2 linked regions of the Drosophila melanogaster genome follow. The protein of the gene in region 1 interacts with the protein of each later gene in a biochemical or structural test. Each region holds a gene or a part of one and is shown in the gene's direction. Other genes may lie near its edges. The genes, in order: Ten-m and Pgant3.

Region 1 (5,244 bases):
GGAATAGAAATTTGACACTTTATCCGGTTTGTGAAGTCCCTCAACGCTGCTTAAGCCACCAAAAAACTATCACATTCTACTGTTGAAATTCGCTGTTCTTTGGGGAATCGTAGATGCTGCTTATAATAGTTACAAGCTAGTATAATTAAAAAAAAGGTATAAAAAGGTAGACACAGCCAATGAATTAAGCCATTTTTGAGTTATTTTTGAATGTTAACCCAAATGGTTCAACTTCAAAAAACTGCAAAGGTTTAATCCATTGCCCCTTAATTAAATATATGCACAACAAGCCAAGAATGTTTGTTCCTGTACGAAGACTCAGATCGAAACCTACGACAACTAGCCAAATCAGAAGTCACATTCCCCCTCGGAATCCACATCCTCCTGATAATATTCAATGTGTCAAGTGCAGGCGAGCAACGCTTCTCTCCCTTTCTTGAATGATGCTCAAACATTTTTGCATACAACAGGAAATTGATTTTTCATCGACAGCAAAGAAAATCGGGAAAGCAAGACTCCATATCCTATGCAAATACTTTCAGACTACAAAAAAATTTGCGTCACGCGGCGTTGCCACATTGCGAGACTCGGAAAAGAAATGACAATTTCTCCGGCATCTCTTCTTCTTCCCCGCCGTATCCTTCTCGTGCTGGGAAAGCTGTCAAAAAAGCTTCAGCAACAACTTCCGCTACATGGCAGAGAATTGCCTGCACGACGGGCTAGGGGGCGGTCGGTGGAGGCGGCAGGATGAGACCTGCGTTCAAAAGTTAAGCCATTAGCGAAATGTCCTTTACTTTGCTTATAACGCAATTTTCTGCTTCTTTTCTCGGCCATGGCCCCCTCATCACCTACCCACCCCACGCTGGCCACCATTGTTTGTTTCGGACACTTTTTGGCCAGGTCCGCTCGGTTCTGGCTTGGGTGCTGAATGACAACTTCACTTGTCAGCGATTTGAAACTTTTTCGCCTCCCCTCGCCGCCACTGACTAACTTTTCTAGCGCTAATGAAGTCTGAGGATATTTTTTGGCTGCGTGAAAATGCTCCACAGAATCTGACAGCATAATTAGTAAATGAAAAACTGTTTTGTGTAATTCCCAGGCCACAGGAGGTTCAGATACCTTGAAATACAAATTCCATTGTTTTTAAAAATGTAGTTTTTAATATTTTTGTGTAACCTGCAATTTATTCAATGCAAGCTGAAAGTTAAAAGTTTTCGGAGGTTTTGGAAAACCTAGATATTTTAGGGCAATATATAAAGAGAATATATAATATATATATAATAATAAATAATATATATTATATAATATATAATATATATAATAAAGAATAAACTAAGCTATCTTTTAAAGTTTGTACCTAATAACTTAAATACCTCCACATTTACATTGATATTTTATGGTATATGGTATATGGTATACGTATACGCACTTTTATGTAAACCGGTTAACAGTTTTGTAATAAAATTAACAGTGTCGGTGTTAGCCGCCGGTGAAGCTGTTATTACAGCGCTGTTGGCCGCCTCAGATAATCTTAACGAAACTGGCGTGCAGCACGATAGATTCGAATCCGCTGTACATCCATTTCCCCTTAGCCAAACGAAACGCACTTTTTAACCTTCAAACCAGAGATTCGATGAGTGCTCTCATTTGAGTGCTGCATACTCTTCTGGTTATAAAAAGGCTAAACATACCATTGAGAACAAATATTGATGGTAACTTAACAGAAGCACAAGAGTATTAAAAGTATATTATTATATTTCCTTGCATATCTTTTTCTATAACGCTGTCATAGACTGGAAATCTATATGATTCGGAGTGATTCTTTTGCAATTAAATTAACCTAAACTACATAAGTAGCACCTATTATTCTAGCAAAATAGCTATATTTCCAGCTAAGGCCAGACTATCAGCAAATTAGCTAAATGGACAACGCTGGTGCGCGACCGCTCTCTCTCTCACAAATCATGCGCAGTATCAGAATAAATGAGAGAGCGACGCATTTTAACTGAAAAAGAGAGAATATGAAGCATATTGTTTTTCTCTCATATTTGCAGCGACTTGCGCTCTCTAGCTCTCTCTCTCTCTCCCACAGACTCGGTTCGTCGTTCGTTTTGAGCTCATTCGTCTTTTGAAATTCGCCTCGCACGGTCGGAATTGTCGTCGCGGAAAATGTGGATATACGAAAAGTAGCGAAAACAGCGCGTTGCTTCAGTCGAAAAATATAGAAAATCGTCGGGAATCAGGCAGCGAATGATACCTGCGTCTAACGAATTCTGACATAGTTTTACGATCGTCGCGCAAACAAACACACCGCGTCAATTCAAAAACACCGTTTTTCCCGTCGCGTTCCTGTGCTCCCCATCGTGTGTGTCCCGTGTTTTCAGTGTACGACTACTGAAAAGGCCCAAGAAATATTATTGCGGCCTCGGCGGCAGATTGTGATTGAGCTGGGACCAGCAGCCCGCCCGCAGATTAACCGTCTGGAAATGGCCCAGTAGAAATGTTTTTGAGTGCAGTGCGTCCAGTGCCATCCGCAGCCGCATCCGCATCAGCAAGTGCATGAATAATCGCGAGTAGCCAAACGCATACCAAGTCTCTTCTTCCTGCTCCCGTGCGGAGTCCTCCTCCTCTTCTTCTTCTCCTGTCCGGCTGTCTGGCCAAAAGCCCCCAAGCCGCCAAGATTAAGTTCTCAAAGCAGCACGCCCATCACGCGTACCGCCACACGGACAACATCTACGACGGCGGCACGGACACGGACGACGACGAATGTCCGCTGGAGGCGACCGCCATGAATCCCTACGAGTATGAGTCGACTCTAGACTGCCGCGACGTGGGCGGCGGCCCCACTCCGGCTCACGCCCACCCACACGCCCAAGGACGTACGCTCCCCATGAGCGGCCACGGGCGGCCGACGACGGACCTCGGTCCGGTCCACGGCAGCCAGACGCTCCAGCACCAAAACCAACAGAACCTGCAGGCCGCCCAAGCCGCCGCCCAGTCGTCCCACTACGACTACGAGTACCAGCACTTGGCCCACCGTCCGCCGGACACGGCCAACAACACAGCGCAGCGGACACACGGAAGACAAGGTGAGTGAGTATGCCGACCCCAGTGGGCAGTGTGGTCAGTGGAATCAAACCGAAAGCTACAACTCCGGAATTTAGTGGCCCAAATAGAGCGTCTGGAAGTGATTTAAAAAAGTTTAGGATGTGCGGAAATACTTTACAATGCATAAATTGGATTAAATGAATTTGTAACTTAAATTATGTTTGGAAATCAGTGAAAAATATAAAAGCGTTTCTGATAAGAGTACCATGCTGCTTAAACATACTGAGATCCGTTTTCCATCGCTTTCGTATACATCACCGAATTCTTTGACAGACGTGCCTAAATCAAATGAGCTAATTGATATCAATATTTTAAGAAAATGGAGAACATTTGGTTATTAGCTACGTACGTTGAGAGAGGATAGACTGGTTCTAAAACCATTCATTGCTACTTGGCATTTGTGTATTTTTAGTATTAGTCAAAAAGTTAAAAGCAAATTATGTATGTGCAAAAGGATTCCAATGTTTCTCAAACGCAATTCAAGTGAGCTACCGTGTCATCTGCTAGTTACAGAAATTATTCCTTTTTTCGGTGACAAAATCGTGCGGGTTGCGAATTCCAGCAAGTTGCGACAAGTTTGAACAAATTACGCCCCTTATCGGCGAATGCGGCCAAACATTTTGCCTAAATTAAACAAATTAAGGCGGCAGTCCCAATGGGAGTGGGATTTGGACTTCGCCTGACATTGAGCCCGCTCTTGTTTCGCATTTCATAATTTCCCTTTTTCCGACTGAGCGCGTTTTTTCACGATTTGTCTGATTAATAAAGCGAGAGCCACAATAGCCAGCGCACAAAGCGCAGTTGAAAAGGATACTCTCTGTCAGCCGACAGGAATTAGGGGGAATCCCAGACGATGTCCCCGCTCTGTGAAAAAATGCCTGCGGCTGGAAAATGCTCGAGACTTCTGAGAGGAGTTGGGTTACAGTAGCCTGCCTGATTGTACACTGACAGAAATCAGGGCACTAAGTTATGTTGATATAGATTTTGAATGAAAATCGTAGTTACTTGGATACCCTCTTAATATGAGAACAGAATTTTAGATTCTTTACTTTTAACTATTGTTTTGATGACAATAGTTCACGTATTTAACTCTAGATTATGTTAGTTCGCTGCTATTATCGATTTCAGCCAGCCTCCTCGTAGCGTCTTCATGGCCACTCCCAGACCTATCCAATATTTTCGATCCCTGGACCTCGACCACGAGCAACCTAAACACAAATACATGCTCCGACATGCTTCAGTTTTATTATTTCCGACTCTGCTTCTTGGCATTTGAACTTACACATAATGCGGACTTACATAACTTTATTTCTGGCATTTCCCTTTTGAGCTCCGGTGCCCATTTTCCGCTCCTCATCTTCTTCATCCTCATCGAAGCCATCCCACCGCAGCCGCGCTTGCTCTTCTCCTGCCTTTCAGCGTTTTTGTGGTGTTATAAAAACAATTGCCAAACAATTGGAGCTTTGAAACGAAATAAAAATCAAATGGAAATCGAACCTGGAGCACACGAACGTGTGGGTGTTTGGGTTGGGCTACCTGGCAGCGGCGAAAGAATTGTAAATTTACAGCAACAAATAAATTTCGTAACTGGCAAACAATAAATTCCTGAGACCCGAAGACTTTTGCAGAATTTCTTTTCAGCTTTGGCGCAAGAAATGAAATTGAATAAAGTGGGCCAGGGGGGTGCGATTGGGGCGGGGCGGAGCTCGTAAATTTTCAACACTTCACCAGGCAGCAGCTTTTCCCGCCTTCCTGCTCCCCAGTGCCTGTCATAAAATTGCCAAAAAGCCAAAACAGGAAAGACGGAGAAGCAGCGGAAAATTCTTTGCCTCCCCCACTTTGAAGCTGTGTTGATGTGTGAAAATCCGCTCGAAGCTGAAGCACCGAAATTTCAATGTCTCAATGCTTTATTTGTCGGCCTGCCAATTAGCCAAATTAGGTCGAAAAAATCGGCCACTTTGCATTATTAAAAGCCAACCGCAGCCAGGTTCGAGTCCAACTCCAGATGGCCTCCAAATCCAATCACAAGCCCCGCCGTCATAATGCACAAGTTGATGGCAAAAAAGACGAGAAACACGCAACTAATTTCGAAAATGGAAGCTCCGCAAGGTCACCCCTGAATCGGAATCCAAATCG
Region 2 (6,837 bases), on another chromosome or scaffold:
TGGGAACCCAGCTCTTTGCGGAGAGCCTTATCAGCCCACAGGCCGGGTGCTTTTGATAACTCTAAGCCTCATTGGACTGCGCCGTTTGGCGTTTGCTGTTTGGTTTTTGGTTTTTGGTGTTGGGCGCTGCCTTTCAGTTGATTTCCGATAGCGAGTGCGAGTGTGGGCCAAACCGACATCAAGACACCTGAAAATCCACCAAAATGAGCTGCGGCACGAAGGCATTGAAGGTGTCCTCCTTCGTTTTGGACTTTCTGTGCTGTGTGAGTTGTTATCACCAAATCGCCAACTGATAGTATATTGTTATATGCCTCCTCTCTCTATCACTCATAGGTTCTGGCGGCACTGACCATCGCGGCTTGCTCCTATGCCCTGATTGCTTTTAGCCACAGCGTAGCCATCCGGGTGCCCAGCATCCTGGGCATCGTCCTGGGCGGCCTGCTGTTCTTCAGCACGATCTTCGGCTGCATTGCTGCCCTGCGGGAGAGTATTCGCATGACCTGGATCGTGAGTAGCGCTCTATCTAGTACCTAGTGGCCAGGTGACCTCCAATATTAACTCGACCGTCTTGCTTCGCCCAAAAGTATGCCGCAATACTGCTGGCCCTGGTTTTCAGTCAGATCACCGTCATCTTGGCCCAACCCATCAACTATGAGCTGCTGGCCAACGAGACCATTTACGACGCCTGGCAGGGACAACTTTACCACTCGGACAGAATGTCCTACTTTGAGATCAAGGTGAGCTATGTAGGGATCCTTGGAACCTTCTCCATATATAGCAGACATGAGTTCCATTTTCACTTTCTCGGAAAAGGCATTAGGAAAATGGTATCAGTTGGCTTTTTTTTTGAAATTTTATCGAAATCATTTCGCAAGCTTGTTATCTTTGTTTAACCAAGTACTAAACGGCTTTTCTTTTAGTATCACTGCTGCGGACAGACGGGGCCCGCAAACTATCCGGATAGTGGCCTGGTGATTCCGCAAAGCTGCTACTTCAACCAGAACGCCACGGTGACTACGGATCTCTATACGGTTGGGTGTAACCATCAGTTGGCAGCGGCCTTCGTCAAGGGAACTCGCTGGGAGAAGATCACGGATTGGTCCGTTGTGGGTGTGGAGGTAACTGAATCCGATCACTTGCGATCCTTCAACTCATATTCCAAATGCTCCTCAGATACTCACTGTCATCATCGCCGGACTCCTGGCTATAACCTTACAGAATGCCGAGCGCCGCCGTCTTTACCGATAAAAGCTGGCCTTAAGTTTCTACCAAAAGTATTAGAACTGTACGAATGTGAAAGTGTTCCTAATTATATGAGGGAGTAGTTGCCAAAACATGAATACATTAAATTGGTAACGTTAATATATTTCAACCGTATTTAAATTGCTCAATACAAAATTTCAGAATGTATGCAAGCACTTTTATAAAATTAGTCACACTTAAACCGATTCGTGGTACATTTGGAATGTTGTGTCGCTTTCGACGTCTGGGTCTAAGCTGTTTTTATGTGCAATACTATGTATAAGAAAAGTATGATTATATATTTAACAAGTCTATGAAGCTTATTAAGAAAATAAACAATTTAATGCTTAGTATATTTCAAGTTGCAGTTAGGTTAAATTTGCTTAACAGACTTAAATTTGCATAAGATTTAAAATCGATATCAATGCGCGCCGATACATTTCTTTTTCACCACAGCTATCGAGCCAGTGAAAACAGCTGCTTGCTCACAAGTGCTGCTACGGTGCTGCTAAAATATTTTAAAATTAAACACACGACTCACATCTCATTTCATTTGTACACAAAGAAAAATATCGCAGAACAAGTCTATGTTAAGCGTTTAAATAATGTGCATATAATTAAAACATGTTTTACCTACCATACCGAAGCACCTTATTGAGGCGAACAAACTCTTGATCCATCTGGAAAATAGCCAGACTTACAGCGCTTCTGGTTTCGAACTACTGGTTCCGTGAACTGTTGTCAAAAGTAATGAAATGCTGGAGAAAGCAGTAGAATGATAAGTTTAGGCCGTATTTGCACAATTACTGAGTAACTAGTGACAGCCGAACAAGCGCCATGTATTCATAAGCACCTGCCGCGCACCTGCCAATTCGAATTTAAAGCGGCCCCGGAGCAGAAGCGACGCATTTCTTCGCCGAGCGTCCGCAGAGTCGTCGGATCGGATCGGATCGGTTTGGATTGGATTGGTGACTAAAACAGTTGGACAACAACAGCGGCTTGATTAGTTGGCAGTAAACAGAGCTACCGAACGCACCGGTCATTCACTCCGCACCGTTTTGACCAGAAGCAGTTCCAGTATTGGTAGCCAATAAGCCACAGCAATGGGTCTCCGGTTCCAGCAGCTGAAGAAGCTCTGGCTGCTCTACCTTTTCCTGCTCTTCTTCGCGTTCTTCATGTTCGCCATCAGCATCAACCTGTACGTGGCCAGCATCCAGGGCGGGGACGCGGAGATGCGGTGAGTAGTTGGCCCGGTAATTAACAATGGGCCCATTAGGACGCGCCGCTCGGATTGCACAACTTCCCCTGGGGCCCAAATGGGTTGCAAAATGCAAGTGTTCCAGTCGAGTGCCTCGCCTCCGCGTTTTTTAGCTTCGATTGCCGAGGCACTTTGCATTCGATTTGGGTCTTGGGTCTCTGTTTGTTTTGACATCGCTTCGCGTGATTCGATGGGCCATTGTAAATGCTAAGTCTTAATATCGCTCCATTGTCACATCTTGGCTCATTTGGCTATTGTGGATCACTATGCCGATTTCCCGCACAGTCATCCGAAACCGCCGCCCAAGCGCCGCTCCCTCTGGCCGCACAAAAACATCGTGGCCCACTACATCGGCAAGGGAGACATCTTTGGCAACATGACAGCAGGTGAGTGAGATGGTTCCACCTAATCATCATCAGTTAAGATTGGTCATTGGGGTAATAAAACAGTTTATTTGTCTTTTATCATTCCCAGTTACCCTTAGTCATCAATAATAGACAGTGCCATTAAATGGCATTTCATTTTACCCTCTGCACAATTGGTTTAGGTGCTCGGGAAATATTTAAGACTTCTTTAATTACCTTAGTATCATTTTACTTTCGACGCATTAGGGAAGAACTGACGAACTTTGTTTTGAAACTACAACCTTAGTTGCACCATCGTTGATGGAAAATACCTAAAGAGAGTTTCCCTCAAATGACACAACATCAAAATGCATTAATCCCCACTCGCTTGCAGATGATTACAACATCAACCTGTTCCAGCCCATCAACGGAGAAGGTGCCGATGGGCGACCAGTTGTGGTGCCGCCTCGCGATCGCTTTCGCATGCAGCGCTTTTTCCGGCTAAACAGCTTCAACCTGCTGGCCAGCGACCGCATCCCACTGAACCGCACCCTCAAGGACTACCGCACACCTGAGCAAGTATAAGCCTTAGCTTACTGAGAACCTTTTCTAATGCATTTCTTCTCCTGCGCAGATGCCGCGACAAGAAGTACGCCAGCGGTCTACCCAGCACGTCGGTTATAATTGTTTTCCACAACGAGGCCTGGTCCGTGCTCCTGCGAACCATCACCAGCGTCATCAACCGGTCGCCGCGCCACCTGCTTAAGGAAATTATCCTGGTGGACGATGCCAGCGATCGCTGTAAGTCTGCATAGTATAATCAACGTATATTCCGAGAATTCCATCTGTGTGCAATAGTATTGTCGACCTTGGGCGAAGCTTCTTAATTTTGTATTACCTAAAGGACATTTGGTTCTATTGCCTGCGTACTATTCCCGCGAATGGTTTCAGTCTACTCCACCAAACGAAACTCCTAAGAATGCAATATATTTAATTTGTAAAACATAGTTTTGGGATGATTCACAATATTTGTTTCTTATCTTGAAAACGGTCAGTGTATAAGTTTACGTTGATTCATTAAAAGTAAATTCTTTGTCTAACATGCTAGAAAGTTAAAACTACGAAGTAATAAAAGAATCGTAACTCTTGGAATTTACATATAAATGACATACATTATGCGTATCTGTATATAAAACTTTCCTAATCAAATGTTCTTCCAAAGCATATTTAAAACGTCAACTGGAGAGCTATGTGAAAGTGCTGGCGGTACCCACGAGGATCTTTCGCATGAAGAAGCGAAGTGGCTTAGTGCCTGCCCGCCTTTTGGGAGCCGAAAATGCTCGCGGCGATGTGCTGACCTTCCTCGACGCCCACTGCGAGTGCTCGCGGGGATGGCTGGAACCACTTCTTTCCCGCATTAAGGAATCACGCAAGGTGGTAATCTGCCCGGTAATCGACATAATATCCGATGACAACTTTAGCTACACAAAAACCTTCGAGAACCACTGGGGCGCTTTCAACTGGCAGCTGAGCTTCCGTTGGTTCTCCTCGGATCGTAAGCGGCAGACAGCGGGCAACAGCTCCAAGGATAGCACTGACCCGATTGCCACTCCCGGAATGGCCGGCGGATTGTTTGCTATCGATCGCAAGTACTTTTACGAAATGGGATCCTACGACAGCAACATGCGCGTTTGGGGCGGCGAGAATGTGGAAATGTCCTTCCGCATTTGGCAGTGCGGCGGTCGTGTGGAGATCAGTCCCTGCTCGCACGTGGGTCACGTGTTCCGCAGCAGCACGCCCTACACCTTCCCCGGCGGCATGAGCGAGGTTCTCACGGATAATTTGGCCAGGGCCGCCACCGTCTGGATGGACGATTGGCAGTACTTTATAATGCTGTACACCTCTGGACTGACGCTGGGAGCCAAGGACAAGGTGAATGTTACGGAGCGTGTGGCGCTCAGGGAGAGGCTCCAGTGCAAACCGTTCTCCTGGTATCTGGAGAACATATGGCCAGAGCACTTCTTTCCAGCTCCCGACCGCTTTTTCGGCAAGATCATATGGCTGGACGGGGAGACAGAATGTGCCCAGGCCTACAGCAAGCACATGAAGAACCTACCAGGTCGTGCTTTGTCACGAGAGTGGAAGCGAGCGTTCGAGGAAATCGACAGCAAGGCGGAGGAGCTGATGGCGCTGATCGATCTGGAGCGGGACAAGTGCCTTCGCCCCCTCAAAGAGGATGTGCCGCGCTCATCATTGTCTGCAGTAACCGTAGGCGATTGCACATCTCACGCCCAGTCGATGGATATGTTTGTAATAACTCCGAAGGGCCAGATCATGACTAACGACAACGTCTGCCTGACCTATCGACAGCAAAAGCTGGGTGTGATCAAGATGCTAAAGAACCGCAACGCCACCACTTCGAATGTAATGCTGGCGCAGTGCGCTTCCGACTCGAGTCAGTTGTGGACCTACGACATGGATGTAAGTGTATCACAGCTACGATAATTGCATTAGTGCTAAAAATGTATTCCTCCACAGACTCAGCAAATATCTCATAGGGACACAAAGCTCTGCCTTACTCTGAAAGCGGCGACTAACTCGCGTCTCCAAAAGGTCGAGAAGGTTGTGCTCAGTATGGAATGCGACTTCAAAGACATCACACAGAAGTGGGGCTTCATACCACTGCCATGGCGCATGTAGAGAGTAGGATGTCATGCCGGTGCCAGGACATTTAATCCAATAACCCTGCCAGCAACTTTTTAACGCAATGTGATATTTATTGAAATTGTTTTAACGAAATTCACTCGTTAATTTGTTTATGTGAACAGTAACCAACCCACAAGCACACGAACTTCAGACACCTGCAGTCCTGTTGTCTAACAAAGCCTGATTTCACTGTCGCAATTTAATATTTAACTGCGCGTAAACATGAGCAGCAGCAACATATGTGTGACAGTGGAACCAGTCTTTACCAAACAATCGTACACCGATACAGACCCACTTGAATTGTTTTTAAAACACACTAACCGAATGCGTGGGAGAGCTTTTCTCCCCCCACGCATTGCGACTCTATCAATCTAGATAGCATAGTGGTATGCTATATCTACGTCATATTTATTAAGAAGAGTTAGAAAATTTTTAGCTGTACTTACTAACCTCGACCTTAATTTTTATATCACTTGAATAAAGCAATCGAATGTAGAGAAAGCTTCGTTGCAATCTGTTTCTCTTTCCCTGACTTCTTATCGCTGGCCCCTGGGAAAGGTCGCAATGCACTCGCTTTAAATTTGGCGCATCTGCCGCAGATTACACCACTCTCGCGATGAACGGCTGCTATAACACAATAAAGTACACGGGCCTGCTCTCAAATCTGCTCTATATGGTAAGTCGTACTCTTGCAACTTACTCTGGGTAAATTGTTTATAATCGTTGGCGTTGCAGCTACTCGGCATAGGAGTGATGTCTGGAGCAGGACTAGGACTGCAGATGGCGGAGCCCAATACGCCAGAGCACACTTATTTCGTGAAGAGCTTGGTCTTGGGTGGCTCCATTTGCATGATCGTGATGTTCGGATGCTATGGCATGGTCGCCAACTTGCTTTGTGTCAATCTGATTGTAAGCGAAAGGAAAGAGCGAATCCTGAATATGGATTACTATCCATAACTAACTGAACTCTCCCCACAGTTCACCATGTTCATACTGATCGCTCTGGCAGCGGAGTACCTTCAGCTGCACCACTATCACAGTCCGTCCCTCAGGAGCCCGGGTGGCGCCTGGCAGCAACTGGAATTAGCTTGGCATGGCCTGGACAGAGACCCCGAGCTCATGCACCAGTACGAGGCCTCCCAGCACTGCTGCGGCTACAATGGTGCCGACGATTACAAGCGCCTGCATCTGCTGGTGCCGGCGAGTTGTTATCAGGCCGCTGTTAATGACACCGCCCAGCAGATCTATCCAAGCGGCTGCCTCGAGACGTTGAACCGCAGCCAGCGG

What was found.
Region 2: of the proteins of Ten-m (region 1) and Pgant3, one has a biochemical effect on the other in vitro, tested with the Drosophila melanogaster proteins (one study listed by BioGRID).

Annotation. Positions count from the first base shown.
Region 1 is NT_037436.4:22,404,737-22,409,980, reverse strand, and holds the start of Ten-m (tenascin major), read left to right. Parts: upstream 1-2,117; 5' UTR 2,118-2,788; coding exon 2,789-3,089; intron 3,090-5,244. UniProt on the Drosophila melanogaster protein: Involved in neural development, regulating the establishment of proper connectivity within the nervous system. Acts as a homophilic and heterophilic synaptic cell adhesion molecule that drives synapse assembly.
Region 2 is NT_033778.4:7,056,865-7,063,701, reverse strand, and holds Pgant3 (polypeptide N-Acetylgalactosaminyltransferase 3), read left to right. Parts: upstream 1-1,969; 5' UTR 1,970-2,345; coding exon 2,346-2,479; intron 2,480-2,785; coding exon 2,786-2,886; intron 2,887-3,238; coding exon 3,239-3,419; intron 3,420-3,478; coding exon 3,479-3,645; intron 3,646-4,066; coding exon 4,067-5,325; intron 5,326-5,382; coding exon 5,383-5,544; 3' UTR 5,545-6,048; downstream 6,049-6,837. Other genes in the region: Tsp42Eq (tetraspanin 42Eq), read left to right, coding at 204-263, 334-507, 585-737, 921-1,118, 1,174-1,248; Tsp42Ep (tetraspanin 42Ep), read left to right, coding at 6,167-6,226, 6,286-6,459, 6,529-6,837. UniProt on the Drosophila melanogaster protein: Catalyzes the initial reaction in O-linked oligosaccharide biosynthesis, the transfer of an N-acetyl-D-galactosamine residue to a serine or threonine residue on the protein receptor.